7 linked regions of the Canis lupus familiaris genome follow. The protein of the gene in region 4 purifies or fractionates together with the protein of the main gene of each other region. This does not show direct contact. Links are inferred from orthologs where the notes say so. Each region holds a gene or a part of one and is shown on either strand. Other genes may lie near its edges.

Region 1 (4,160 bases), on a different chromosome or scaffold from region 4:
CTTTCCTATGACTTCTGGGATGACTGGAGTCAAATTTGCAGTCCATCTTTAGTAACTGGGCAGGCAATTACCTCAGGCATTTTGTATAGTATCCTTATCCATGACTTCATCTTAAATTCCTCCCCTCTTATTTTCCTATTCCCCCTGAGTTCTTGGTACAGTTTTAATAATGTTCTAGGTTACCTCTGTAAACTGCTTCACATCCTTGGGGACCATTGCAAACAAATACATACTATGAAGAAAATCCTCCGTAAACTCAGAGTGCAGATGTTTTAGCATATTTATGACGGCAGGGTTTTCTTAAAAGTTGAATTCATTACAAATATTTTAAAATCCCAACATTTTACATAAAAATCCAGATTTCAGATATCTCTGAAAAAAATGTTAACAGGTTCTTATTTCCCTGGGCCGCCATGCAAGTGGGATCAGTTCTGAGCAGCAACTGTGGTCTCCAGGGGTCACAGTTCTAACACATCCCCCCAGCTCGTTTAAATATTACCTGAGAGGCTCGGGAATGAGGTCAGAAAGAGGAACAAACTCCAGGATTCTGCCAACACACGCGCGCTTTTTCTTGTTTTTTTTTTTTTGAAAGAGTTGGATACGTAACAGGCACAATTCACTCTTCAACCTTTCAATGGACCTCACCTCTGCGCTAGGCCCAGTGATGGGCGATTAAAGAGAAGCTGAGGTCTCAGTCCTAGTTGACTGGTCAGGGCTCGGCCACCGCCACTAGGTCAAGGCGTGTTGAGCTGAGCTATACAAAGTCAAGTTCTGAGCCGGCGGTGGAACCGGGTCTAAGCTGGGTTGCCCTAAATGAGACACTTGTCTGAGCAGCCCACCGCCTGAGACCAGAGGGGGCAGGAAAACAAAATCACTACTCAGCTCGGGACTGAAGCACCAACAGCGGAGCTCCGGGACCAGCCTCCCTCTACGAGGATGTTCCCGTTTCCGGAGCAACCGCCAGGTCCCTCCCCCCTTAGCTCCGCCCCCAGCAGTCTTTCCCGCCAAAGGCCGTTAACGCCGCAGAGCATCGTGGGACAAGGCTCCAGGCTAGGTTTCACCCAATGCTTTTAAGGCGCGGACTTGTTTTAAAAGAGACTCATTCCTGAGAAAACGGACTATCCTTTAAGATTCGTCAGGGATTAGTAGCTCCGTGGACGAGGGATCTCTGTTTAATTTTTACCAAAGGGCCGGTCACGTCATTTGCGAGCCACTCCACAAATCCAGAACGCGAGGAACTTTTTTCTCCCTTCGCGCGGAGGGTGACGTCGCGCATGCGTGAGCGTACCGCTCGCAGCACCCGTTACGCTCTTGCGCGTGCGTACTGAGGCCGAATAGCAGCTTCCTCCCGCTTCTCTTCCTCCCTCCCCCCATATCCGTGCGCCGAGCTGATAAAGGCGCCATTTTGGAGGGGCCGCGGGAGACGTGGTGTCGCTGCGGGCTCGCTCTGCCGTGCGCTAGGCTTGGTGGGAAGGCCTGTTCTCGAGTCCGCGCTTTTCGTCGCCGCCATGTCGGGAGGTGGTGTGATTCGTGGCCCGGCAGGGAACAACGACTGCCGCATCTATGTGGGTAACTTACCTCCAGACATCCGAACCAAGGACATTGAGGACGTGTTCTACAAATACGGAGCTATCCGCGACATCGATCTCAAGAATCGCCGCGGAGGACCGCCCTTCGCCTTCGTTGAGTTCGAGGACCCTCGGTGAGGCGGCCTGGGCCTCGCCGCCTGGAGGCAATAAGTTGGAGTAGTTGGGGAAAGGCCTTGTTACCGAGAATGGGGAGGTGGGCTTTTAGGTTGGGGGTAAGACTGTGTCGCCCATGCAGGAGTCGAGTAAGAGCCGAGTCGATGTGGTTTCTCTGGTGGCTGGGCCCACGGACGTCCCCAGAGTGGACTCTCCGTCTCGGAGCGGGAAACTGAGGCGCCGAGGGCTGGTGTAGTGGTCGGGAGCCTGGCGTGCTTCTGGGTGGGGGAGGGGCCATTCCTATTATGCAGCGCATGTGGGCTCTTCCTCGCTGGGTGCGCATGTGCGGGGGCCGCTAGTTCCCGACTGAGTTAGCTGCCCCTCCCGGGCCTTACTCTTACACCTCTTGCTTTCTCTGATCACGCAGAGACGCGGAAGACGCGGTGTACGGTCGCGACGGCTATGATTACGATGGATACCGTCTGCGGGTGGAGTTTCCTCGAAGCGGCCGTGGTACAGGCCGAGGCGGCGGCGGGGGTGGAGGTGGCGGGGCTCCCCGAGGCCGCTATGGGCCCCCATCCAGGCGTTCTGAAAACAGAGTGGTTGTCTCCGGTGAGTTTTCTGTTGGTGAGGGTTGTTGAGGAGGGACAGGAGCCACTTTTAAGTGTTCCCTTGCGTGAGTGGTTTTGACAAATGCCTGTTTTTGTGGTAGGTCTTAAATTTAGTTTCTCGGGTGAGTTTAGTAAAGGATAACCGTAGTGGAGGTGTACCAGTGTGCTAGTTACCTACCATTAGGTCGGATGCCTGGACGATGAAGATCCTTACTTTACAGAGAATTTGGGACTTTGGATTCCAGAATCTTAATTAATGGCTCTCTTACCTACGATCTTGAATCTGATTAATTTTAAAGTGGTTTTCGTTCTAGTATAGATTTTAAGTGTAGTGTGAAATTTAGGGTGATTGGTATTGAAAAAATACTTTTTTAGGACTGCCTCCAAGTGGAAGCTGGCAGGATTTGAAGGATCACATGCGTGAAGCAGGTGATGTATGTTATGCTGATGTTTACCGAGATGGCACTGGTGTCGTGGAGTTTGTACGGAAAGAAGATATGACCTATGCAGTTCGAAAACTGGATAACACTAAGTTTAGATCTCATGAGGTAGGTTTTACACTTACTCTTTTCTTTGGCCAGAATTGGATACAGTGGTCTTAACAGTGGAATTTGAAGGTAAGATTCAGGCAAGGGTGTCCAAGTAAAATACCAGATTTCTGGTTTTAGTTACATTGTATTCGTTCAGCATGCCTGAAGACAGGTGAAAGCTTAGATCTTTCAATCGAAAGTTCTGTCTATTCAATAGGGAGAAACTGCCTACATCCGGGTTAAAGTTGATGGGCCCAGAAGTCCAAGTTATGGAAGATCTCGATCTCGAAGCCGTAGTCGTAGCAGAAGCCGTAGCAGAAGCAACAGCAGGAGTCGCAGTTACTCCCCAAGGAGAAGCAGAGGATCACCACGCTATTCTCCCCGTCATAGCAGATCTCGCTCTCGTACATAAGATGATTGGTGACACTTTTTGTAGAACCCATGTTGTATACAGTTTTCCTTTACTCAGTACAATCTTTTCATTTTTTAATTCAAACTGTTTTGTTCAGAATGGGCTAAAGTGTTGAATTGCATTCTTGTGTAATATCCCCTTGCTCCTAACATCTACATTCCCCTCATGTCTGATAAATTGTATTTTAAGTGATGTCATAGACAGGATTGTTGAAATTTAGTTAATTCTCCATGCTCTTCAGACTGTGATATTGTGTAAATGTCTATTCTGCTCTGGTTTGTGTGAACTGGGATGTTGGGGGTGTTTGTGGTTATCTTACCTGGGGAAGTTCTTATGTTTATCTTGCTTTTCATGTGTCTTTCTGTAGACATATCTGAAGAGATGGATTAAGAATGCTTTGGATTAAGGATTGTGGAGCACATTTCAATCATTTTAGGATTGTCAAAAGGAGGATTGAGGAGGATCAGATCAATAATGGAGGCAATGGTATGACTCCAAGTGCTATTGTCACAGATGAAATTGGCAGTATTGACCTTATACTAAAAGGCAAGGGATAAAAGTGATTATATATATATATATATATATACATCTACCTTAAAACACTTGCAAACATCTTGTGCAGTTATCTTTAGCTACAATTGCTTTGCTCTTTAAACCTTGGCAATTGTGGCAAAATTACATTGCCCATTTTGTAACAATTATTTTGCTCCCTTCCCCCCTTTTTTGTTTTAATAGGGACTAATGTGGGAAGAACTGGCTAATTTGTCACAGTGCTTAGTTACAACTGTTAATGTGTGACCTGCTGTTGGTGTACATGTGGGTACAGGGTGTCTTTAATTCCAACCAGATAGAGTATAATATCAATACTGCTAAATCTGCATGTCCTCTGTGTGACTGATATAGCGTTGCTATTTCATTTTTTTAA
Region 2 (2,904 bases), on a different chromosome or scaffold from region 4:
CGACGGCACACGCATACACCCAAAAGGCCTGCAGGCACGTAGCTAGGCCATCCTTAGTGGCACCTGTCCTGGATGATGAGTTACAACTTTTACAAGGTAGCCCATTCAGGGAGGAAGTGTGTGTCACATTTTCTTCCATTCAAAATGAATACAGCTTTGAGCTCCATGCAAAGTGTGTAGCAGATTCTTGTTATTCACCATAGTTCTGTTTATGCATTTGCTGGGAACCCTGAGCCACTGCTTAGGGAAATCCAGGGTTAGGTTCTTGGGAGCCTTTTGGCTTATTTTTGTCAACTGATCCATACGTAACCTTATGTGTGTTTCTGTTTGAAGATAGCTTATTTAATATATGTTTTACAATTATATACAATGTTTCTTTATACTTAAACTGCTTGAGAAAGATTTAACATTTTCCTGACCCCGAGTAATGTGACTGTCAACTTCTTTGGCTGTCCACTTTTTTTTAAATCAGTCATTGTCAAAAAAAAAAAAAAAAAAAAAAAAAAAAAATCAGTCATTGTCTTATGAATCCACAAACTGAGCTGCTTTTACCACAGCATTACAGATGTTTTTTTAGAACTTGATGGAACAGCCTAGGTACAATTGGTGAATTTCCTTTTTCTGAATGTATCTATCCTATTGTTAAATTTGTGAACACTGAACTCATGGCCAACAGCACAGTTATTCATCACCAAACGAAGCTCATGTAATCCACGTATTTTTACTGTCAGAGACCTCACAGCCTTCCTGCACTACTGGACAGCATTTCAGCCCTATGCTTCAGGGCCATTTTCAACAGTGAAGTCACCGACAAAAGCTCAAATGTGGCACTAAATACACCTTGAAAAGGATCCTTTTTTTTTTTTTTTTTTTTTTAAATAGTATGAGAACTGAAACAAGGCAGAGTATTGCCTTGTTCAACCTTATCTGGGAACAAGCTCACTGGGCAACTCAAAATTTTCACTGCTCTGCCTATGTCTGAATGACGGGGAAAGCACTGCGAATATAGATTTTTGAGGTCACAAAGTTTAGTGAGTTTGCAAAATCAGCACCCGCAAATAATGAGGACAGGCAGTATATTCCTATAACTCTGCTACTGCTCATTCAACAAAGTAGATGGCCAGCAAAACAACTGAGTCACTAATACATAGCCATATGGCCTCAACAGTAACAAGAGAGAGGCAGTGTGCCAGTTTTTCATCTAACGGGCCATATAGAAAAGCTGGGCAGAATGGCATACAGCTTGAGAACCTGCTCATCCTTGCAATAATTTAGAAATAGCTCCGACTACATATAACTCAAAGCAGACCGTTCAAGCTTCCGCTGGCAATGATGGGCTCAATACAACTCTATTAAGCTTTAACAATTCCCTTCCAGCTCACCCTGAAGAACTTAGAGCATTCACTTAGGTGTTGTCTTTTTAATTTAGTTGTTAGATGACCTTCTCAGTGTCATAAAGCTAGTAAGCAGCTGAGCTAGAACCTGACTCCAGGTATGTTACATACTAAAGTCCTTTGGTCCTCTGAGTAAGAAAGTAAGCGTCACCAGACCTGGAAAACCCACTTCCTCCTAGATAACACTGTTGGCAATACTCCTTCTGGGATGGTTGCCTTCTACCCTTTAGACAAAGTTATCAGAACCTCCCCGTTTTTACAAAATTCTTTTATCTCTAACGTAGCACCTGCCTTATCTTGTAGGCAATTGGGTAGATGGTGGTCTTTTTCCTATACCACACTAAGGCTAGGTTCTATAGTACTGTTGCCTGTAGACCTTCCTGTGATGAGGGAAACGTTACATAAATCTGTGCTGCCCAACACAGTAGCCACTAGCCATACATGACTGTTGAGCATTTGAAATGGGGTTCATATGACTAAAAAACTGAATTTTAAATTGTATTTGATTTTTAACTTCTAGTTAGATGTGGTAGCAGGTACTGTGTTGGACACCACATATCTAGAGAATGGTGTGGCATGAAGGGAAGTCCCTGGAATTTGACAGGCTTGGATCAGATCCCAACCTCTGTCACTTATTAACCATGTAAGCTTGAACAAGTTATTTAAGTTCTCTGAGCCTCAATTTGGATATCTACTAAATGGGGATGATATCATTTACCTCGCAGTGTTTTAAGTTTGTGAATGTATGTTTATATATCATACATACACATATATGAATGTATGTGGAGACTAGCACTTGAACCTGCTGTAGGTTCAGGTAAGTCATTACATTTGTCTCCACCTACTCTGGTAAATATGCACATCACTGGAAAATACTATCATAAACACTAGTAGTACTATTATGCAAAATCATGGAACATAGTTCATTGCTTCCCCCCAAAATGGCTAACCATACTTCTTAATATGAGAAGTATTCCATAAACCAGGGAAGGTTTCCACAGTGCTGGGGAAGTGGTGCACAGTCTCCCTGTCTCCTCTTGCACCAGAAACTCTTAGAGAAATACAAGTGTCCTCTTTCCTTCTCTGCCTTCCCTTTTGGGAAGGGCAAACATGAAGTGGATTCAAAGAGAAGTATGGAAAAGCAAGGTTTGTGGCTTCCTTCCAGGTTTATCACACAGGAGAACAGCAGGGAGCAACACACCCCCAGGTCCTTCCTCTCCCTCTACTTCTACAATAGTCTGCATAATTTGGCCTCAAAAAAACCCAACAAAAAACAAAACAAAAAAAGTTCCCATCAAGGTAATGAACTTTGAATTTTTTAAGAGTTTCTGGCATCTTTTCTTTGACCATTTGCAAACCAGCAGAAGACTTACCCGTTTGTGTTGCCTTGCAAGTTTTTCTTTAGCTTCTTCTAGCTCTTTCTGGATTTTGAGAACGTGTTTGTTCATCTTACGAATTGTGGAGTGCAAAATTTCCCAAACAAACAATCTTAAAGTAACATAACATTTAG
Region 3 (3,980 bases), on a different chromosome or scaffold from region 4:
TATTTAGGAAGTGAACTTCTAAAGTTTAAAGAAATGGGGAAAAAATACTTCCGGAACTATGCTGGGGCTTCAGGAACAGCGACGTCTCAATTCTGGACTGCTAAATTAAGGGAGGGTTGGGTGGAATTCCAGCCAAACCAAGGAGATTTGTATTACACGTGATTACATTAATGGTACCAATCAGGCTTTTACTAATGATTTACATCAAGTTTGATAGGTTTAAGGGTCTAGAGTGGATTTACTACAATTTTTCAGGCTCCAGAGACGCTATTAACAGGTATGTCCAAGATTATTACCCTGAATCCAACTTTTTCACGGCTTTCAGTTCAAAGGATGTTTTTAGCCAATCAGACCTGTTACAAACACTTAAGTCTTGTTTATGGCATCATATCTAATCTGTTCCATTAAGCTTTAGGGTTTTGCCAGAGTTCTTTAGGAATCACAACCTTTTTTACGGTCTATTCTAATCTCTTCGGCTTCCAATACACCAATTGGAAAGCAATCTACATACAAAACAAAATGCCAAATAAAACTACGAAGTTTAGAAATGCTTCCAGGACTCAAAACTTATGTAAGGAAAAAAAAATCAATTTCTAACATGTAACTTTCCTTTATAAGAATTTAGCGAATACCTAACCTATGTAAACAAAGTTGTGGAAAAAACAAGGATTTATATTTTTAACCAGAAAAAAAAAATCAAAAAATGTCAAATTATTAGGATGGCAACCCAGAGCTGTTTCAAGCCAGGAACCTACCTTCAGCAATTTCCTCCCTTATGTAAAATACGACAATTTATTTTGGGGCAATGTTCGTTTTCACAAGCACACCATTCCAAGTAACTTATTCAGGTATATTCAACTAAGAGCGCTTCTCAGAAACCGGCCATTTTGTATTCTCTTCGCAGCGCAAAAAAGTACTCAGTAATTGTTTAAGAAAACCGAAGACTTAAAAGTTATCATTTGCTTCCCCCGTTCCAAACACCGATGACTAGATTCAACGGTATATAGTCAACTGGTAGAATCAGCAATCACTGCTTAACAATTTGTAGGTTGGGTCCAAACTTTCTTACGGTGGACAGCAAGAGCTTAAAAATACTCGTACAGGCACTGATGTTGGTGCAACCAACCGTCTTAAAGGAAAATGTAAAAAGCCAGTATTCTCTGAATAGGTGAAGCCTCATTACTCAAGTTAAATCAGATTTGGTTCCAAAATTACACAGTAAATTTTACAAAGTTTCAGGGCCTAAGACAGGAAGTTTTTAAAAAATGCCCTCTTAATGAAGGGCCCCAAATCGGTTTCATAGAAGTTTGCTAGTGTATTTGAATAGATTTACCTGACGACCGCTATTGAGATCTTAGGATGGCACTAGAAGGCAAAACTTAAGTCAACTGTCAAAGCACCCAACTTCTTTATCCTTACCAAGTTAAAAAAAAATCATGTTCTCTGGTGCTTTTCATTAATCTCACTCGAAGAAATTCTCCATATCCTCCGAATGCCCGAGATTGACAAGCTTTGTGTATTTTTGCATCTTCATGAATACCCAAGGCCTGCAACCACGCTTTATTTACTACACGCTTTTTAAGCCCGGAAGCGGTCTTATTCCCGCAATCTAATCAAACCACTACCGAACTCAACATTTGGGTTAAGTGGAGGCAAAGTCAAAGTGTACCAACATAAGCTGTGGCTCACAGAAGTAGAATGCCTCAAAACAAAGGAAATAACGGCGCCATACATGGTTGCCCGTCAGTTTCTTCTACACAGTCCCCTAGAAAATAAATATCTGCTCCATAAAACAAGAAAACCTCTGTAGCCTCAGGGTGTCGTCCATCGGATACCGATAACGATTTTTTCCTTTGAAAGAAAACACTTTCGATATCGGAAAAAAGCACTCCCTTTAGGCCAGACAAAAAGCCCGCGCGAAACCCCCTCTAACGGGCCCAGAACTTGTCTACCTCGGATTAGTTTCCCCGACGTAAAAAAGCCCCAAGAACACCCCAGACTCCGTCTTTTCGGGGTCCACAAAACGATTCTAAAGCTAAACGATGGGCCAACCCTCCCAGAGAACGCTGCCTTCCTCCCCCCGCTCGGTCTGTGAGGCGCGGGCCCGCCTTGACGCGCGGCTGCTCCGCCATTTTGTGCCTCTGGCAGCGCGCCCGGCCAGCCGGCCCAAGATGGCGGCAGCGAGGCTTCGCAGGAGAGCAACGGCGAAATGAGATACCGCTCCCCTCCCCCAACACCAAGGGGACGCAGCGGCCATTTTTAATCTTTCTCCCCTCTTCTAACGGAAAAAAACCGCCGTCTCGACTTGCGGGCCACACAAACCCGCCAGTGGCCTACTTCGTGACTAACGACACTATTCGCAAGGGCTTTTAAAACCCCACTCCTGTGCTTCCAAGACTCAGACTTCGGAGTCTAAATCGCCCGTCTCCGGAGCCGAGGCCGACGGGCCTGGGAAGAGATGCAAGCTGGAACCACACGGCCGCCCCCTGCACCACCTCTACGTACCCGCTCGCCGTAGTTCTGCTCGCCGCTGTCGCTCATGACTCCTAGCTGCTGTCGCCGCTCGACGGGCTTCAATCGAAGCTGCCAACCTCTGGCGCCTTCTGTATAGAGGCTCCGCCGCAGCCTCACAGAACGCACGGGCTCCCGAGCCGCCGAGTACCGAAGCGCTCCGCACCGCCTCCGCACGGGCTCTAAGTCTGCCGGACGTGACGCGGCGCTCCTTAAGCCGGCTCCTCCCCTTTCAGAACGCGCGCTTTCTTGGCCCCGCCCCTCGGCGCTCGGTCTTCCCTTTCTAGCGGCGGCGCGTCCGGAACCGGACGTGACGTAAGCCTCGCAGCCCGCCCAGCCCCACCCACCATCTCTGGGTCTCAGCGAGGCGGGAAAGTAAGCGTGCTGGACGGCCTGCGCCTGCGGTTGGTGGTCGCCGAGGGGCGTGGTGATGTCACCGGCCACGCCCTCATCTCTTCTGGAACTTTCCAGGGAAAGCGTCGCGGCGGTGGGAAGGAGGAGATGCCCTTTTTTCCCATCCTTGATTCCTTTCTTGTGCTTATTAGTTTTTGTGCCGCCTTTTGGTTGGAGAGACCCCATGTCCTTCTACTGCGACCCATGGTTTACCGCCTTGCACTTATTTAGCTTCAGTTGTGGATGCATCCTTCCTGAAAAAAACCTTCATTTGAGCACCTATTAAATGGTGAAGCACTCTCAGATCTCCAGGTGCTGACATCAGACACAATCTCTATTCTGAAAGAAGTTAGTGGTCCAGAAAGGAAGAACCGTTAAACACGGGTGTAAACTATGATTTTAAGCGCCAGAAGTGCCTACTGCAATGATGTCACTGGAGGGAAGATTAATTTTTTTTTTAAGATTTTATTTATTTGTTAGAGAGGGACAGGCAGAGGGAGAGGCGGGCTCCGTATAGGGAGCCCGACGTGGGACTCGACCCGGGTCTCCAGGATCAGGTCCTGGGTTGAAGATGGCGCTAAACCGCTGGGCCACCCGGGCTGCTCTTCTCTTACCCAATGGCGTGATAGACAGTTCTTGAACAGCCTCGGTTTCAACTGCTCTTGTTCACTTATACTTTTTTTTTTTTTTTTTTTATAAACACAGTACTATCCAGACCTTATCCTATGTACCCATCACCCATTAAAAAGGAAGTATGATAACCTGGCTGGTTTGGTACTTTTGGTACCTGTAAAGGACCATTTGATTTTTTTAAGCAGCTTTATTAAGATGATTACATACCATGCCATGCTCCCATTTAAAGTGACTAATTTAGGGACATCTGACTGGCTCAGTGTTAAGCATCTGCCTTTGGCTCAGGCCATGATCCCAGGGTCCTGGGATCCAGCCCAGCATGGGGCTCCCTGCTCAGTGGGAGTCTGCTTCTCCCTCTCGCTCTGCTCTTTACTCCACACCTCCCCCCTCCTGCCCCGTGCTCGCTCTCTCTCAAATAAATACATCTTTAAAAAGTAAAGTGA
Region 4 (3,500 bases):
CTGGGCAGATCAAGGCTGCTGCAGAGAAAGAACACACACCTTCTGACCCCACAATGCAACCCGCTCACCTCCAAGAAAGCAAAGTTCTTGTCCTGGTTAATCTGCACAGCCAAGACGGGGTTGCCAGGAGCCTGGGTCAGACCCCCAAGGCGCATCTGGGCGTTGAAGAAATCCATCATGGCCTCCTGCAGAGGGAATAGGAGACAGGGGGGGGGCGGGGGGAGGGAGGTGGAGAGAGGAGGGGAGGGTGAGAGAGGGAGACACAGAGGGGTTTGGGGGGGAGGGGAGGGAAAGGGAAAGGGAGGGTGGAAGGAGAAAGGGAGGGAGCAGTGGAACAGGGGTGGGGGCAGAGAGATCAGCAGGGACAGAGACAGGAGAAGATTAGAGAAAGCAAGGAGGAGTAGGAGGCAGCAGCAAAAGACAGCCAGGGGCCAGGAGTGTGGGGAGGACCGCAGGGGCCCCAACCAGAGACACGTCATTCAAGAAAAACGCATAGAAATGGCAATGACAGGAAAAGAAGAAAAAGCATAAAATAGAAAACAGGGAGGTGGAAGGTGAGAGAGAGAGAGAGAGAGAGAGAGCACATCCCGTGAGGACAGGAAGAAGGCACAGCAGGAAAGCAGGAAAGACAAGGGAGAAGAATCAGAGAGGAAGACAAGTCCAGAGAAGAAAAGGAGTTGGGAGAGGAAGAGGAGCCAAGGGACAAGGAGGGCAGAGGGCGGAGGGAGGGAGGAAGGGTGGGAGGGGGAGAAAAGAGTGATGTGGCGGGATCTGGCCCTGGAGTCCGGGGGCTGCTTTATCAAACGTAGCAAAGTGCAGGTTGAGAAAGTCAGAATGGACCTTACTTGCCTTCGACGACGGTAGCAAACTTTTTGTTGCTACGAGGGATCTCAGCCCCACAATATTTCACTTTAAAGAGAAATGGAAACAACTCTTTGATCTCGGGATTCTCGGGGTGCCACGGGAAGGGGTGGGGGGGAGGGAGGGGAGAGGAGTGGTGGGGAAGGTTGGGGAGGTCAGGGCCATCAAAACAAAAGAGCAGCGACCACGGGAGGGACGTGGGGAGAGGATGGGAACAGGCGGCAGAGAACCAGAGGTGTGTCAGAGACAACTGAGGGGAGCGTGCGTCTGTGCGTGTGTGCGTGTGTGCGTGTGTGCGTGTGTCAGTGTGCGTGCGCGCGCGCGTGCGAGTCTCCCTCTCTGTCTCTCTCGATACGGACTGGACTCATGGATTTTCGTAGGTTCGTTGTGTGTGCCTTGATCCCTGGGTTGCTGGAGGAGGTTGGGAAAGGGGAGACGGGAGAGGGGAAGAGGAGGGAGGGAGAGGGCCACCCCCAGCCCGGCCCCTGGCTGGCTCAACTCCATCGGTCCGTCGGGGAGGGGGCCGGGGGGCCTTGCAGGAGGCAGAGTCTGACCCGTGCAGGTTGGGGGAGGGGAGGGGGAGAGGGGAGGAATGGGAGGGAACTGGGGAGAGGGCAGGGAAAAGGCAGGGGGTAGGCAGTACCTCAGTGATGCCAAAGGGGATGTTCCCCACGTAGAGGCGCCGGGCCTGTCTGGTCATCTGGCTCCCGACCACGGGCACCGGCGTCGGGGTCACAGCCAGGCCATCAGGGGTCATGGTGGGAAGGAGGGCGGTGGCTGGAATCTGACCCGCCGCTTGGAGAAGGAAGAGCAGGATTAGATGGCAACCTGGCAATCCTCTACACACACATCCCACCCCCAGCACACTGGTGGGAGAGCCTGGATAGGGGAGGAGGCAGCTCCCTGTGGACCAGCCCACACAGGCTCAGCTCCCCATGGGAACCTCACAGCACCTCTTCTGCAGTGGTCAAAAAGGCAAAATCCAGAAAGCCCGGGACACAAACCTTATCCCCCCTGCCCCCCAGCTCAGGATCTGCTCCCTCAACCACCTAGCATGTTCTCCACCAAGGAGGCGACAGCTGAAACCTACCTTGCATGGCCTTGTACTGCATGGGGGTGATGTGCTCGAAGCCAGGCGGGGGGACATCCCAATATTTACGGACCTTCTTCTTCTTCTCATGGCGGGGGGAACGACTGGGAAGGGGGAAGGGAGAGCCGGGCAGGACGACCTCAGTCTGACCAAAGGTGGGCCTGTGAGCACCCCAGGCTCCCCTCAGCTACCCACTAGGAGTGCAGTGCTCTCCAGGAGGGAGAGGATCTGGTCAGGGCTGTACCCAGGCCTCGGGAAGGGTGCTGGTTTCAAGGCAAGTGGAACCTCTTCCCCAGTGCTTGGGCCAGGGCTGGACAAGGACAGGGCAGGGTACACGAGGGCAGGGGCAGAGGGAGTGGACATCAGGGTGGAAGGGGCAGGAAGAGCAGCTCACATCAATCCACCGTGCTCCTCTTTAGCGCCTCTGGTCAAAGGTTTGCTGAGGGATGGGAGGGAAAGGTATGGGGAAGGGTGACTGGGGACCCTCGTTTTCCCCACACGCCACACCTCCCCAAGGGCACAGAGCCCCAGGGCTGGGGGCAGGCCCCCTTGGCCCTGCCATCCCCCCCAAACCCCCAACCCAGGAAAGAGGAACTGTGGAAGGGATGAAAGGCCACACAGATCACTTTCTACTTGGAGAAACTGAAATGTAAGAAGGCAGAACTTCCACCTACCCTACCCTTCCTCGCTTAAGGGGAAAGAAAACAGAGGGGAGGCTAGGGAGGGAAGAAGCATTAGCAAAGCAGATGGCAGCTGGGTTCACAGAGGCTGCCCCACTTTGAGAACCCCTCTTCCCAGGAGGCAGAGTATAGACCCCAGAATACAATCCCAGAAAAACACAGAATAATAATGGGAAAAAGAAACGGGTCCTAGGAGGCAGGGACTGAGCCAGGCCTCGTGAACACAACACAGAAGAGTCAGCACCCTGAATCCAGACTCACCTCCATGATAAAGAACCCAATGCCCCCACCAACCCACCAGAAACTGAAGACTCTAGAAACAGAGTATAAAAAAAAAAAAAAAAAAAAAAAAAAAAAAAAGCCCATATGCAAGACAGACAAGTAACAGACACCTAGACACACACACACAGAGAACTCAAGAGGCCGAAGCACACCAGTGTCTGGGTGCAAGGACACTCCATTCCCAGCCAGGGGTCCCCAAGCCCTGGTACCTTCGTCGCCGCCTGTCCCTGGAGGCACTCCGCTGGTCCCGGTTGCGCCGATCACGGCTCCGGCTCCGGCGCTTGCGGTCCCGGCTTCGCGAGCGGCTGTGGCTACGCTTGCGGTGCCGGTTCTCCTTGTCCCGTTCTGGGCCAGGGGAGGGGGAGGAGAATGAGCTGAGGGAGGACATGGCCCAGCCCACCCACTCACTGGTGGCTATGCCCCGAGCCCCAGGGAACCCACCCCCCAAGGGGAAGGGATTCAGTGGAGGAGGGAATATAGCAGGCTTCCTGGGTCCACAAGCCAGTCCAGGAGCCCTGGGGGTCCCAGGGGACAGGAGCTGGTTACCTGAGGGGACAGAGCCTGGAAATGCCCACGGGGTGTAAGAT
Region 5 (3,500 bases), on a different chromosome or scaffold from region 4:
CCAGTTTTCATTGTTCAGGTGAACGCCCTCCTGTAACAGCCTTGAGAAGCTGGGTGTTGTTCTCCACGGAGCCCTGGAAGTCCCTGTGGACCTGTGGGAAAGAGACCTCCCAGGCCCCGATCCCCACTGCCAGTGGAGGCGAGAGGGCCGGTCCCTCCACGCTCACAGGCATCCCTCTCATCGCTTCACCCAGAAACCTTGAGTCTCCCTCAGGGGCAGTCAGGTGCTTCGCCAGCAGGTGGGGCAGTGCTGGCCTCCCGTGAGGTCTGTCTGCAGGGACCACAGAGCTTTGGGCAGACCGTGGCTGCAGGCCCCCGTGGCTGTTGGGGTGCAGTGTTCCCTGGTCTCACTGAGCGTGGCACAGAGGGCTCTCCTGGTGTCATAGTCTCCTTTTTTTTACAGTGAAACGTTTGTTTCACAGCGTGATTGCCATAGTTGATGGTGCTTATTTTTCATGCTTTGCCTGACAAAACTTAAAAGTGGGCAGCTCTGGGTGGGCTCGTATAATGAAAAGTCTGACCCTGTGATGTGTATAATCCCCTGATTTGTCAGCCTTCAGGATGGTCGTGTTGCTGGTTCCCAGGTGTGAGGTCTTCATATGCTCATTAAGGGAAGAAGAACCAAGCGAGGGAGAGGTCTGGATCCGATAGCATTAGGGGCCGACCCGAGTCACGCTGCAGGCCATACCCGATGTGCTACTTTCCTATGGCCCCTGTAGCAAATCCACAGAGTTGGTGTTTTTTTTTTTTTGTTTTTGTTTTTAAGATTTTTAGTTATTTATTCACGAGAGACACAGAGAGAGAGAAAGAGACAGAGACACAGGCAGAGGGAGAAGCAGGCTCCATGCAGGGAGCACCATGCAGGACTCGATCCCAGGACCCCGGGATCAGGCCCTGGGCCGAAGGCGGCTGCGCTAGACCGCTGAGCCACCCAGGCTGCCCTGAGTTAGTGGTTTAAACGACAGGTCTATTGCTGAGCAGTTCTGGAGGTCTGAAGTGGGGGGGGGGGGTGCCTGGGTGGCTCAGTCATCAAGGGTTGAATTCTTGACTTCGGCTCAGGTCGTGACCTCAGAGTTGCGTGATTGAGCCCTGCCTCAGGCCCTGCACTGAGTGCGGAGTCTGCTTGAGATTCTTTACGCCCTACCACCCCTTTGCTTCTCTATTCTCTTCTGTTCTTTTAAAATAAGTAAATAAATCCTGAAGTTGTTTTTCTTAAAGTGTAAAGGCAGGGAGACCTGCTCCTGCCTTTTCCCACTTCCAGAGGTGCCACCTCCCTGGCCCACAGCCTTTCCTCTGTCCTCACCACCAGCAGCGTGGGGTCTGCCCGTCTGTAGGGCTTCCATCCTCTGCCTCCCTCTCAGGAGGATCCCGGGGTCACCCCCACCTCAGGGACCTGGACTTGCCCGCCCCTGCAAGGTCCTTTTTGCTATTTATGGTTCCAAATCCTCAGGTTTCAGAGATTAGAATGGAGACATCTTTGTGGGGTCATATTCACTCCTGAGCCCCATTCCATGAACTCAGCTCTGCAGGGACAAGACACCGTGGGTTTACGCCAGGGGCCTGGGGCTGATCTTACCCAAGTCAAGAGAGAACGTGTTTGGAGGGCAGAGGGAGGTGCCTGGAGGTTGGATCTGAGCCGAGCCTGAAAGAACTTGGGAAGCGTGGTGGCAGGGAGTGGAACCAGGCTATTTAGGACTCAGGAGAGTCCTGCTTGGGCACAAGTAGGTCTTGGATTTCTTGTGCATTGGGCAGAAGAAGTAGGTAGGTAGCATCTTCCTTGCCTTCAGCAGATTTACAGCCGAGCCACAGAAGTAGAATTTAGTTTGGGGAAAGTAAACATAGACAAGTGGAAATAATTCAGAGGCGAGGACACCGAACACTTGGGCAGTCCACGAAGGCTTCCTGAAGGCGGTGAGACTTGCTAGAGAACTTGGCCACCTCTTCCCTGTTGCCATTTTGGGTCTCAAGCTTTTATACTCCTCGGACTGCAGTGGCTTCCTCTTCAGTCCCCCGGCGCCGTCATTCATAGACACCCCACCTGTCCTTGTTCGCTCTTACTCCAGTTAGTGTGTGCTCGGCTCACCCGGGCCCTCAGACTACTGCAGGGAAGAGGAGGCTGGGAAGGGGGTCTTCACTTGCCCCAGCAGCAGCTGCCGAGTCCTGCGCTCTCACAGCCTCCCCTTTGGCCCTGCAGGTCTCTCTGCCAGTCTGGTAAAGCCCCAAGGCCCTCACCATGGACTTCCAGCATCGCCCTGGGGGTAAGACCGGGAGTGGAGGCGTGGCCTCCTCCTCGGAGAGCAATCGAGACCGCAGGGAGCGCCTCCGGCAGCTGGCCCTGGAGACCATCGACATCAACAAGGTTGGTGAAACCAGGGGCAGGCGGGTGGGCAGGCGGCCTCCCCACCCACGTTACCCCCTCTCCCTGCACCTGGTGCCCTTGGCCCTGCTCTCAGCTTTGGAGTCCTGGTCCGTAATTGAGAGCCCTTGACCTAGAGCAGCTCCTCCTGTCCACCCCAGAGCCCACCTGCTGTTCAAAGGGTCTTTTTATTGCTTGAAGTTTTTGGTTTTGTTTGATTTACCGGAGATGTGGAGAACTGTCAGTGGTGAGGGTCATGATAGCGTCGCGTGACTTGATGATCTAGCTGTAAACGTCAGAGGGCGGTGTTTTACTTAGGTGTACAGAGCTCTTGGTGGACCAGGGTCTCCCCACCAGCACTGCGGACATTTAGGGCCAGGTTGTTTGCCAGATTGTTTTGGGCACTTCTGGCAGCTGGGCAGCGTCCCTGGCTCCCACCCACTCAGTGCCCAGGAGCACCCTAGTTGTGACAACCACAGGCCCAGACACCACCCAGTGTCCCTTAGGGGCAGTGTCACACTGGCTGTGACCCTAAGGGTCAGAGTATGGTTTCCCTTAGACTTTGAACCTCTGTGAGATGTGTTGAGCCCTCACCATGTGCCAGGCACCCCCAAAGCTCCCAGCGTCACCTCTGAGGTCAGTTGTGTTACCATCCTCATGAGGAAAGAAGGGAGGACCACCACTGCCAAAGATGACAGGGCCCCCGGGCAGAGGAGGTAGGGTTTGAGCCCCAACTGGTGTGCTCTGTGCCTCAGGTCAGAGTGCTTGTGGAAAGTCAGCCGTCTGGCCGAGGAGGCCCTGCACGCCGAGACAAGCGTCTCTATGGGCCTTTGTTTTAACCCATTTGCTTTTGTTCTTCCTGTGTCTGGCCTGTGCGGTGGTGCTTGGAATCCCAGGGGGGTTAGCCACCTGTCCCTGTCCTGACCCGGGAGGTGGACGCCCCACAGTGCCCTCGTGACTCTGCTTCCCTCTGGACCCAGTACTGCCACAGAGGTGGGGCCGGGGGCCAGCATTGGTGGCCCCCAGCCCTGCCAGGTGGCCTGTATCTGCGGGGGCCCAGGTGGTCCCACAGTGCTGCCTCAGAAGGCCCTGCGGGGGCCCAGGCCACAGGCTGCTCCTAGTTGTTTGTCCTCGGAACACCTGCC
Region 6 (4,139 bases), on a different chromosome or scaffold from region 4:
GTTCCGTGCAGGGAGCCCAACGTGGGACTTGGTTCCAGGTCTCCAGGATCATACCCTGGGCTAAAGGCGGCGCTAAATCGCTGAGCCACCCGGGCTGCCCTGTAGCAAGACTTTTAAATGAAAACCAGTCACCTGCTAATTTTTTTTTTTAAATTACAGGGACACCTGGCTGGCTCAGCAGTTGAGCGTCTGCCTTTGGCTCAGGGCGTGATCCTGGAGTTCCGGGATCGAGTCCCATATGGGGCTCCCTGTGTGGAGCCTGCTTCTCCCTCTGTCTATGTCTCTCAAGAATAAAAATTTAAAAAGTAATAAAATTTAAAAATTGCCAAAAAAATACCACAAAAACAATGTTAAAATTTTAAAAACTAGGGACGCCTAGGGGGGCTCAGCGGTTGAGGGTCTCTGCCTTCGGCTCAGGGCGTGATCCAAGGACCCAGGATCAAGTCCCACATCGGTCTCCCCCGGTCTCCCCGTGAGGAGCCTGCTTCTCCCTCTGCCTGTGTCTCTGCCTCTCATGAATAAATAAAATCTTTTTAAAAAATTATTTTAAAACCTAAAATAAAAAAGACCTAGTATGTAATAAATCTAATCAAATTACAGAAATGCATACAGGCACAAGAGATGACTAAAGATGGGCTTGCTTAAAGACCAGTAATTAGTAACATCAGCAACCTCTCCCAAACTTCATAAGTAGAAATTTACTCACTTCAAAATGAAGAATCTTGACTAGAAATTAACACTGAAAACATCACTTTTCACTGACATACCCCAACGCATTTTTTTGTCTAACCGGAGAACCCGAAGTATTTTCATTCTTACTAGAAATTCAGAAACCGTTAACCTTTAAAAAAATGACTGTAAGTAATAGAATTACATTTAAGATAGGGAATTTCGACCACGTTTTGAACTGAAAGAGTATCTGAAGTGTTCAGAGCTCTTCCAGCGCCACCAACTTCCGGAGACCTGAGGCGCGGCGTTAACCTTGGGCACCTCGGGGGCCCCCTTCCCGGCGGGCGGTTCCCCCCACTCAGCGAGCCGTAGCTCGCGGACCCCGCTCCCGCCACGCACGCGGCCGCGGGGCAGACAGGAGCCCGGACACCCCCAGGTAGCTGTGAGAGCTAAAGGAAGCACGTTCCTGCGTCCTGAGGCCTCGGGGGAAGGGAACTACTGCGAGGAGAGTCCGGCCGGCGGGCCCGGCCCGAGGGACGCGGGGCGGCGGGGGAGGGGGTTCCTGCTGGAGCTGGGGAAGGGGCTCTCCGGGGTCTGGGGATTTGTCCGGCGAGAACCTGAGAGCTCCTGAAGGGAACAGACCAACAGGGAGGGGCCTGTGGCCTCCTAACCCGGTCTATAAAAGACGGGGTCGGGCGAGTCCCCGGACTCTGCCGGCGTCACCAGGCCGCCCGGCGCCACTTTCAGGGACCCACGCGGGCACACCGAAGGTAGAGGGCGCAGCGCAAGCGCCGGCAGAGTCCAGAAGTTTCTTAGGCGCAGTCAAGAACCAGCAAAAAATACATTCAAGGATACAAAGAAATAAAGGGCAAGGGAAAAAGAAACGGCCGATTAAGCTCGCTCCGCGTAAGTGTGGTCACCCGGCAGAGATAACGAGAACCAAAGAGTTTCTACCCAAAAACCAGACACAATACCTCTAAAAGCAGGAGACAAAACGGAGACCGGCGCTCGGCACTCACACGCCACACCGAGAGGAAGAAAAGGCCTCAAAGACCGAAAGTGGAGGCTCAGCGAGCGGGAACGTGGGAGGGGGGAGGAGTCAGTTGCCAACCAGTCTGGTGCAACTCAACCACGTGAAAGTACTGCTTTCATTTTTAAATGAAGCCCCTCTCCCACGGTCGTCAGGTGCCCTCGCGCTATTTCTGGCAGGGCGCTCAAGCTCTGCTAACCCCGGAGGCCGCACCAGGCCTTTCCTCCCTCCCTGCCTCCCGCGGCCCTGAATCCCAGCCCAGCGGTCCAGTCCCCGAGGGGATGGCTCTTGATCTCAGGCCTGCCTCCCCGCACCCGCGATCTCAGTCCAGGGGTCCAGTCCCCGACTCTACGGCCGTGGACTTCTGACCCCACCTTCCGTGACCCCAATTCTCAGCCCCAGGGGGCCCAGTCCCTGACCTCAGCCCCTGCCTCTCCCGACCCCAACCCTCAGCCCCTGCGTGCCCAATGCCCATTCGGTCCCCGTGGGTGAGGCCCCTGACTTCAGACCTAGCCTCCCCCAAATCCGTATCCCAGCCCCGCCGCCCCCAGCCCAGAGGGCCCGGTTCTCGGTCCGTCCCAGTGGTGCGGCCCTCAGCCTCCGACCCGCCGCCCGTCCCGCCCCTCACCTCGGGCTCCGGGTCTCCACGCTCCCGCTCTTCACATCCGGCACCTCGATCGTCCCTCTGAGCACCTAGAGGAGGGTGGAACGCGGGGAACTTGGCAGTTGTAGCTGAGGCAGTTGAGGCTTGTTTACCATCACCATGGAAACCCCTGGCAGCGCGCCCTGGGCGGGGCCCCGAGGGGCGGGGCCTGGCGCGCGGCCGGCCCCGGCGCACAACTCCCGCCCGTCGGGCGCACGCGGCGTTTCCCGCAGCCCGCTTGCTCCGGGCTCGCCCAGTCCCCGCTCGGCCGCACCCCAGCACCCGAGGGCCGCTGCCCGGAGAGCCCGCGCCCCCACCCCACTTCCGGCTGCTGGCGTGACCGCCGGCCGCTTTCCCCGCGGAACCCCACCTTCTTCTCCAGGAAGACGCGGCGAAGGGCTACTTCCACCACGGAGCCGGAAGGACGCGAGGAGCGCGGCGGGGCGGGGCGGGGCCTCCGCGGCGTGCGTCCAGGGGCGGGGCCGCGAGGGCGCCATTGTGCCGCTCCCGGGGCGGAGCCAGGGATTGGTCTGCGGGGCGCGGGGCAGGGCCGGGGCCTGCGGAAGGGGACGCTGTGGAGAGGAGAGCCGCTGCCTCGCGCCAGCCCTTTCTCAGGGCGGGGGAGGGTCTGACCGCGGCAGCGTTGAGCTCCGGGAGATGCTGACTGGGAGAGTTCCCCCCCTAAACCGGGACCTCAAGGACTCCGGTATTGAAGATCAGCGTGAGAGAAAAAAAAGAGTAATTTCCTGCCAAGGAGAAAATAGGGAACCGAAAACAGCGAGACGGATAAAGGCGGCTCCGATTGCAGAATTTAGGGAAGGAGTAACATGTTCACTGAGGTTGCTCACATGTTGATTACTTGGGCTGAGGAGTCCCCGGTCTCTGAAGGTGACCCAGAAGACCCAAGGGAACACCTGAAACTAAAGGCTGGGTGGAAATGGCTTCCCAGCCTGAGAGCAGTGGAGACTTCTTGATGTGTTCTGGAGTTAGTAATTATCACCATTTTAATTTTTGGAGACTCTTTATAAAGAGGATGAGATCAAGGCATTCATCACAGGTTTCACAGAACAGATTATTTTAAAATCACTGGTTAAATTAAGGGAATGTTTGGAGCAGTGGCAGATTATGAGCGGATGACAGTAAAAAGCAGTTTGTCAAAAGCTGATTCTAGGAAAGAAAAATGGGAAAAGTGAAAGGAAGAGCTGTTAGAGGGGGTGAAAATGTACAAGGAGAAAATTAAAGCAAAATTACTGAAAATGAGTCCTACAAAAATCAGGTAGGTGTTCCCACAAAACTCCACAATGACTTCATCATAGCAGACTGTAGAAAAGTGGTTCTGGAGAGAGAATGCAAGCAGCCAATCTGAGGCAAATATTAAAACGGTAACAAAAAATAGTGCTTCAGAATTAAGGGACTGTGAAGCCAGGTCCAAGAAGATATGTTTATATAGTCCGTTAAGAGAGACTCAAGCTACACGGGCTCTTTGATCCCTTCGAGGGGCTCCCTGTTCATTATTGATCAACAATGCAATAATCCTTTTTTTTAAATTTTACTTATTTATTAATGAGAGAGAGAGACAGACAGAGGCACAGGCAGAGGGAGAAGCAGGCTCCAGGCAGGGAGCCCCACGTGGGGCTCCATCCTGGGTCTCCAGGATCAGGCCCTGAGCTGAAGACGGTGCTAAACCGCTGAGCCACCCGGGCTGCCCAACAATGCAATAATCTTTGAGAGCCTCCCTGAAAGAAAGATTAGAGCCTTGGCCTGATTATGAGCCTCTCTCTGGTCTTGGGAGTAATC
Region 7 (3,500 bases), on a different chromosome or scaffold from region 4:
TTAGATCAGTAATAATAAAGAAAAACATGTACCTTTCTGTTGGGATAACCACTTTGACTATGGCTTGCGACAGAGTCTGTATATGAAGTCACATCAGATAATAAACATAGAATATGTGAGTATTGTTAACAAGTAACAAGCAAAAATATACATAATGCATTGAAAACACTACACATCTAATCACAAAGTTTTGCAGGCAATCACTGCATTTGAAGTAATTATACACTAAGCAATTACATAAATGCAAATGGATGTGTTCAGTGAACAATAACTGTTCACCAAATGCAAAGAATCAGAACATTCCTGCCAGAATGCACATCAATGCACTGAAATAGGTACTACACCGAGAATTATCAGATAAAGATTTTAATTTGTGAAATAATTAACTGTTTGCCTCTGACCATACAGTTTGCTACTTTGTTCCCAAGCCTTTAAAACCAGCCCTGTCATTTTAAGTGTAATTATTTCATAATAGAACCAACAAATTCTTATAAACTTGAAATTAAGTTGGTTTTATGTTTAATAAAAAGAAAATACTCACCCTTTGCTTTTAACTAGAGCAGTTAACTGTTTTAAAAAACCACATACGCTCTCAAATACTCTAACATCTCAGATCCTGAGAACTAAGTTAGCTAGCAGCCATCCAAACAGTTTAACTATTTAGGTTTTTCTAATTGAAAAGTCACTTAACCAAATACAAAATATCACTTTCTCAGAACAAAGTAAATTTAGATACTGCACTTAAGCAAACCTGGATACAACAGTGGACAAAAGGGAAAAAAACTTAAGTGGTCAAAAAAGGAATGGTAGCCACAAATAAAAATATGACCTAGTATTTCAATATAGGGTTTCCATGGGCTAAGGCAGGGAACACATCTACTTATTTCTTTCAGAGTTGTCAAACAGAATTACACACACACTTTCTATAAAATTATTGAAAAGAAAGACTACCACAGATTTAGTATTTACAAATTAAGATGCGGCCCTATGTACATTTTTTAAATTACCTTCTCAAAATCCTCCTTGTTTTTAGGTGGCGGTAACATTGGAGCATTGGGGTTTTTTAACCTCTCTCTAGGCTGCGCATTAAAAGGCAGTCCTGATGGAGGTGGGGGAAGTGTATGTTCCATCATAGAAGGCGGAATGTATATTGGATGTGGAGGAATAGGCACAGCTTTACCCCAACCTAACTTCATTTCAAAAGACATAATCATCTTTCCTACAAAAAAGAAAAGAAAGGTCACCCTGGTTAACTCTCAAAAGAAAAAATTTCTGTTAATTTGAATTATTTTTCATGTTTAACCTTTCCAGTTCTGGTCCATTTTCCCCCTAGAGGTGTTTTGTTTGTTTGTTTTAAAGATTTTATTTATTCATTCATGAGAGACACACAGAGAGAGAGAGAGAGAGAGAGAGAGAGAGAGAGAGAGGCAGAGGGAGAAGTAGGCTCCATGCAGGGAGCCCGACATGGGACTAGATCCCGCGTCTCCAGAATCACATCCTGGGCTGAAGGTGGCGCTAAACTGCTGAGCCCCCAAGGCTGCCCCCCCCCACCCCGAGTTTTTATAAATACTTTTCAGAGCCAGGAAAAAAAGTGAATTCTATAGTAGACAATAAAAACTTTCTTACCATTTAAATTTTTTAAAGCTCTTTCAGCATCTCTTCTATTCATAAAAGCCACAAAGCCACAATTTCTCTCTCTTGCTCTTTCTTCATCAGTTCTAGGCCACATAATTTTCACACTGGCTAAGGGTCCAAATCTTCCAAATTCTTGACAAAGCATTTCTTCATTCATCTATTAAAAAGCATATGAGGGGTTTTTTTGGTATGCAAATAAAAGGGGGAAATTCTATCCAAAAGCAAGCAAATGTTTACAAAATGAACAGTGAGACATATCAATGCTACAATTTTCCACTGAAGCACCAGGACCTCTATACAGTAAAATCTTGCCCTCAGGTGACATTCACAAATCTTTTCATACCAGAAACACAAGTGTTCAGGGTGAGGAGGCTTGGTGGCTAAATAAATCAAAAGTACACCTCTATCTAGCTCTCCTCCTGTTCCTTTTGAGATCTTGCATATTTAAAATAAGCTGTTCTTCGGCACTGGTTTGTTTTTGCATTTAGCAACGTTTATCAGGCAACAGTGATTATCACATTTAAGACAAGTAAAAAATATATGTTGGTAATGAAAGCAAAAAAAAAGATCTGATCACTTTCTCTTTTTCCAATACCCAACATTATCAAGAAGAGAGAAAAGAGTAAATACACAATGAGGTCCAAAACATACATAATTTAAAAGAGCATATTATGGATAACTACCACTACATTCTTCATAACACAAGTAACGCTGAAGTGAGGAAAAGAATTAAGAAGAAGCACAAATTACTAGTTTGCTATCGTGAAAAGAAAAAAGAAAAAGGATATCATTAAGGAAGCAAGCTATGCATAAGGTAGTCTCAAAAGAGCACTGTCCACCACAGATCATGATTTGATAAATAAAAAAAAATCAGTACACAGTAAGACATTTCAAATTCAGACAGTCTAGTCAGAGAAAGACGAGATAAGCACTGTGGCAAGACAGTTCAGCCATATCAACAAGCCTCAATTTTATAAGATAATTTTAGAGACTTCTATAGTTTCTGAAGTTCCATCAAGTCTGCTTACTTCAGGTGCTTGATTTTATTTTTTCATTGACAAGGCAGTTTTCTTCCATAATTATAAAAAATATGAGCCAATGTTCATCTAACTTTTCTAATATTACCTGTGGATTAATGTTTCCAAGATATAAATTAGTAGTGCTTGGATCTCCTACATCATGTGAGCCAGGTGCATAATCATCAAGAACTAGGACAAAGAGGGGGAAAAGAATTATAACCTGCAAACTACAAAATTTGGACAATTTCTATTAATTAAAAAAGCAAAAAACTGTATTACCACCAGATGATCTATTTCTTCTGGAAGGCGCATCCACTTTAAAGGAAGGAAAAGAAAACAGTTCTTAGTTTTTTAGAATAGTTAATCACAAATATAAACATTAAAATAAATGCCACTTACTAGAACGACGCTGACCATCAGAATCTGACTGAGGAGGCTCAAATCGGCTTAACCTGCCTTTTGTCTTATGTCTCTCATCACGCTCTTCCTGAATTCTGTTGAAAACATTTGTTATCACTAATAATGAGCCAAAAGTTGTTCATTCACAGTTATTAAGAATATAAGTTATCCAGGTACCATGTTCATATAACTTGAAATATTTGTAAGTAATTAAATGCCAGCACTAACAACCGAGATTAGAAAGAAAGTCCCTCAGCTATTAGTCATGAGCAAATTTCTGATATGTCATGCAAGCATTAGAATACAAAACCCACTTCTAAGGTGAGGAGCAAATTCAACATTAAAACCACTGAATCTGTCCTTTCTTGGTTAAGTTTGCTCACTCCTCACCCCTACCTCAGTGACTACATTGTTTCCACTGCAAACAGGACTCCGGACATTAGATAA

What was found.
Region 1: the proteins of U2AF2 (region 4) and SRSF1 purify together in Homo sapiens (affinity purification with mass spectrometry; 4 studies listed by BioGRID and IntAct, counting the BioPlex papers as one, with this or other methods). This does not show direct contact. The link is inferred for Canis lupus familiaris from reciprocal best matches to the Homo sapiens genes U2AF2 and SRSF1.
Region 2: the proteins of U2AF2 (region 4) and NCBP1 purify together in Homo sapiens (affinity purification with mass spectrometry; 3 studies listed by BioGRID and IntAct, with this or other methods). This does not show direct contact. The link is inferred for Canis lupus familiaris from reciprocal best matches to the Homo sapiens genes U2AF2 and NCBP1.
Region 3: the proteins of U2AF2 (region 4) and TRA2B purify together in Homo sapiens (affinity purification with mass spectrometry; 4 studies listed by BioGRID and IntAct, counting the BioPlex papers as one, with this or other methods). This does not show direct contact. The link is inferred for Canis lupus familiaris from reciprocal best matches to the Homo sapiens genes U2AF2 and TRA2B.
Region 5: the proteins of U2AF2 (region 4) and SF3A2 purify together in Homo sapiens (affinity purification with mass spectrometry; 3 studies listed by BioGRID and IntAct, with this or other methods). This does not show direct contact. The link is inferred for Canis lupus familiaris from reciprocal best matches to the Homo sapiens genes U2AF2 and SF3A2.
Region 6: the proteins of U2AF2 (region 4) and HNRNPF fractionate together in Homo sapiens (co-fractionation; 3 studies listed by BioGRID, with this or other methods). This does not show direct contact. The link is inferred for Canis lupus familiaris from reciprocal best matches to the Homo sapiens genes U2AF2 and HNRNPF.
Region 7: the proteins of U2AF2 (region 4) and U2SURP purify together in Homo sapiens (affinity purification with mass spectrometry; 3 studies listed by BioGRID and IntAct, counting the BioPlex papers as one, with this or other methods). This does not show direct contact. The link is inferred for Canis lupus familiaris from reciprocal best matches to the Homo sapiens genes U2AF2 and U2SURP.

What each region holds. Positions count from the first base shown.
Region 1 is NC_049230.1:32,652,926-32,657,085, reverse strand, and holds the start of SRSF1 (serine/arginine-rich splicing factor 1), read left to right. Parts: upstream 1-1,360; 5' UTR 1,361-1,508; coding exon 1,509-1,702; exon of another isoform or gene 1,703-2,109; coding exon 2,110-2,294; intron 2,295-2,668; coding exon 2,669-2,841; intron 2,842-3,040; coding exon 3,041-3,235; 3' UTR 3,236-4,160. UniProt on the Homo sapiens protein: Plays a role in preventing exon skipping, ensuring the accuracy of splicing and regulating alternative splicing.
Region 2 is NC_049232.1:55,304,732-55,307,635, reverse strand, and holds part of NCBP1 (nuclear cap-binding protein subunit 1), read right to left. Parts: intron 2,883-2,904; coding exon 2,768-2,882; intron 1-2,767. UniProt on the Homo sapiens protein: Component of the cap-binding complex (CBC), which binds cotranscriptionally to the 5'-cap of pre-mRNAs and is involved in various processes such as pre-mRNA splicing, translation regulation, nonsense-mediated mRNA decay, RNA-mediated gene silencing (RNAi) by microRNAs (miRNAs) and mRNA export.
Region 3 is NC_049255.1:18,824,673-18,828,652, forward strand, and holds the start of TRA2B (transformer-2 protein homolog beta), read right to left. Parts: upstream 2,801-3,980; 5' UTR 2,542-2,800; coding exon 2,506-2,541; intron 1-2,505. UniProt on the Homo sapiens protein: Sequence-specific RNA-binding protein which participates in the control of pre-mRNA splicing. Can either activate or suppress exon inclusion. Acts additively with RBMX to promote exon 7 inclusion of the survival motor neuron SMN2.
Region 4 is NC_049222.1:102,850,845-102,854,344, forward strand, and holds part of U2AF2 (splicing factor U2AF 65 kDa subunit), read right to left. Parts: intron 3,259-3,500; coding exon 3,123-3,258; intron 2,391-3,122; coding exon 2,346-2,390; intron 2,056-2,345; coding exon 1,952-2,055; intron 1,657-1,951; coding exon 1,505-1,656; intron 186-1,504; coding exon 69-185; intron 1-68. UniProt on the Homo sapiens protein: Plays a role in pre-mRNA splicing and 3'-end processing. By recruiting PRPF19 and the PRP19C/Prp19 complex/NTC/Nineteen complex to the RNA polymerase II C-terminal domain (CTD), and thereby pre-mRNA, may couple transcription to splicing.
Region 5 is NC_049241.1:57,264,475-57,267,974, reverse strand, and holds part of SF3A2 (splicing factor 3A subunit 2), read left to right. Parts: intron 1-1,774; exon of another isoform or gene 1,775-1,910; intron 1,911-2,193; 5' UTR 2,194-2,232; coding exon 2,233-2,358; intron 2,359-3,500. UniProt on the Homo sapiens protein: Component of the 17S U2 SnRNP complex of the spliceosome, a large ribonucleoprotein complex that removes introns from transcribed pre-mRNAs.
Region 6 is NC_049249.1:3,803,346-3,807,484, reverse strand, and holds the start of HNRNPF (heterogeneous nuclear ribonucleoprotein F), read right to left. Parts: upstream 2,801-4,139; 5' UTR 2,713-2,800; intron 2,399-2,712; exon of another isoform or gene 2,393-2,398; 5' UTR 2,328-2,392; intron 1,789-2,327; exon of another isoform or gene 1,644-1,788; intron 1-1,643.
Region 7 is NC_049244.1:39,151,482-39,154,981, reverse strand, and holds part of U2SURP (U2 snRNP-associated SURP motif-containing protein), read right to left. Parts: intron 3,149-3,500; coding exon 3,054-3,148; intron 2,970-3,053; coding exon 2,934-2,969; intron 2,844-2,933; coding exon 2,761-2,843; intron 1,793-2,760; coding exon 1,627-1,792; intron 1,220-1,626; coding exon 1,008-1,219; intron 77-1,007; coding exon 33-76; intron 1-32.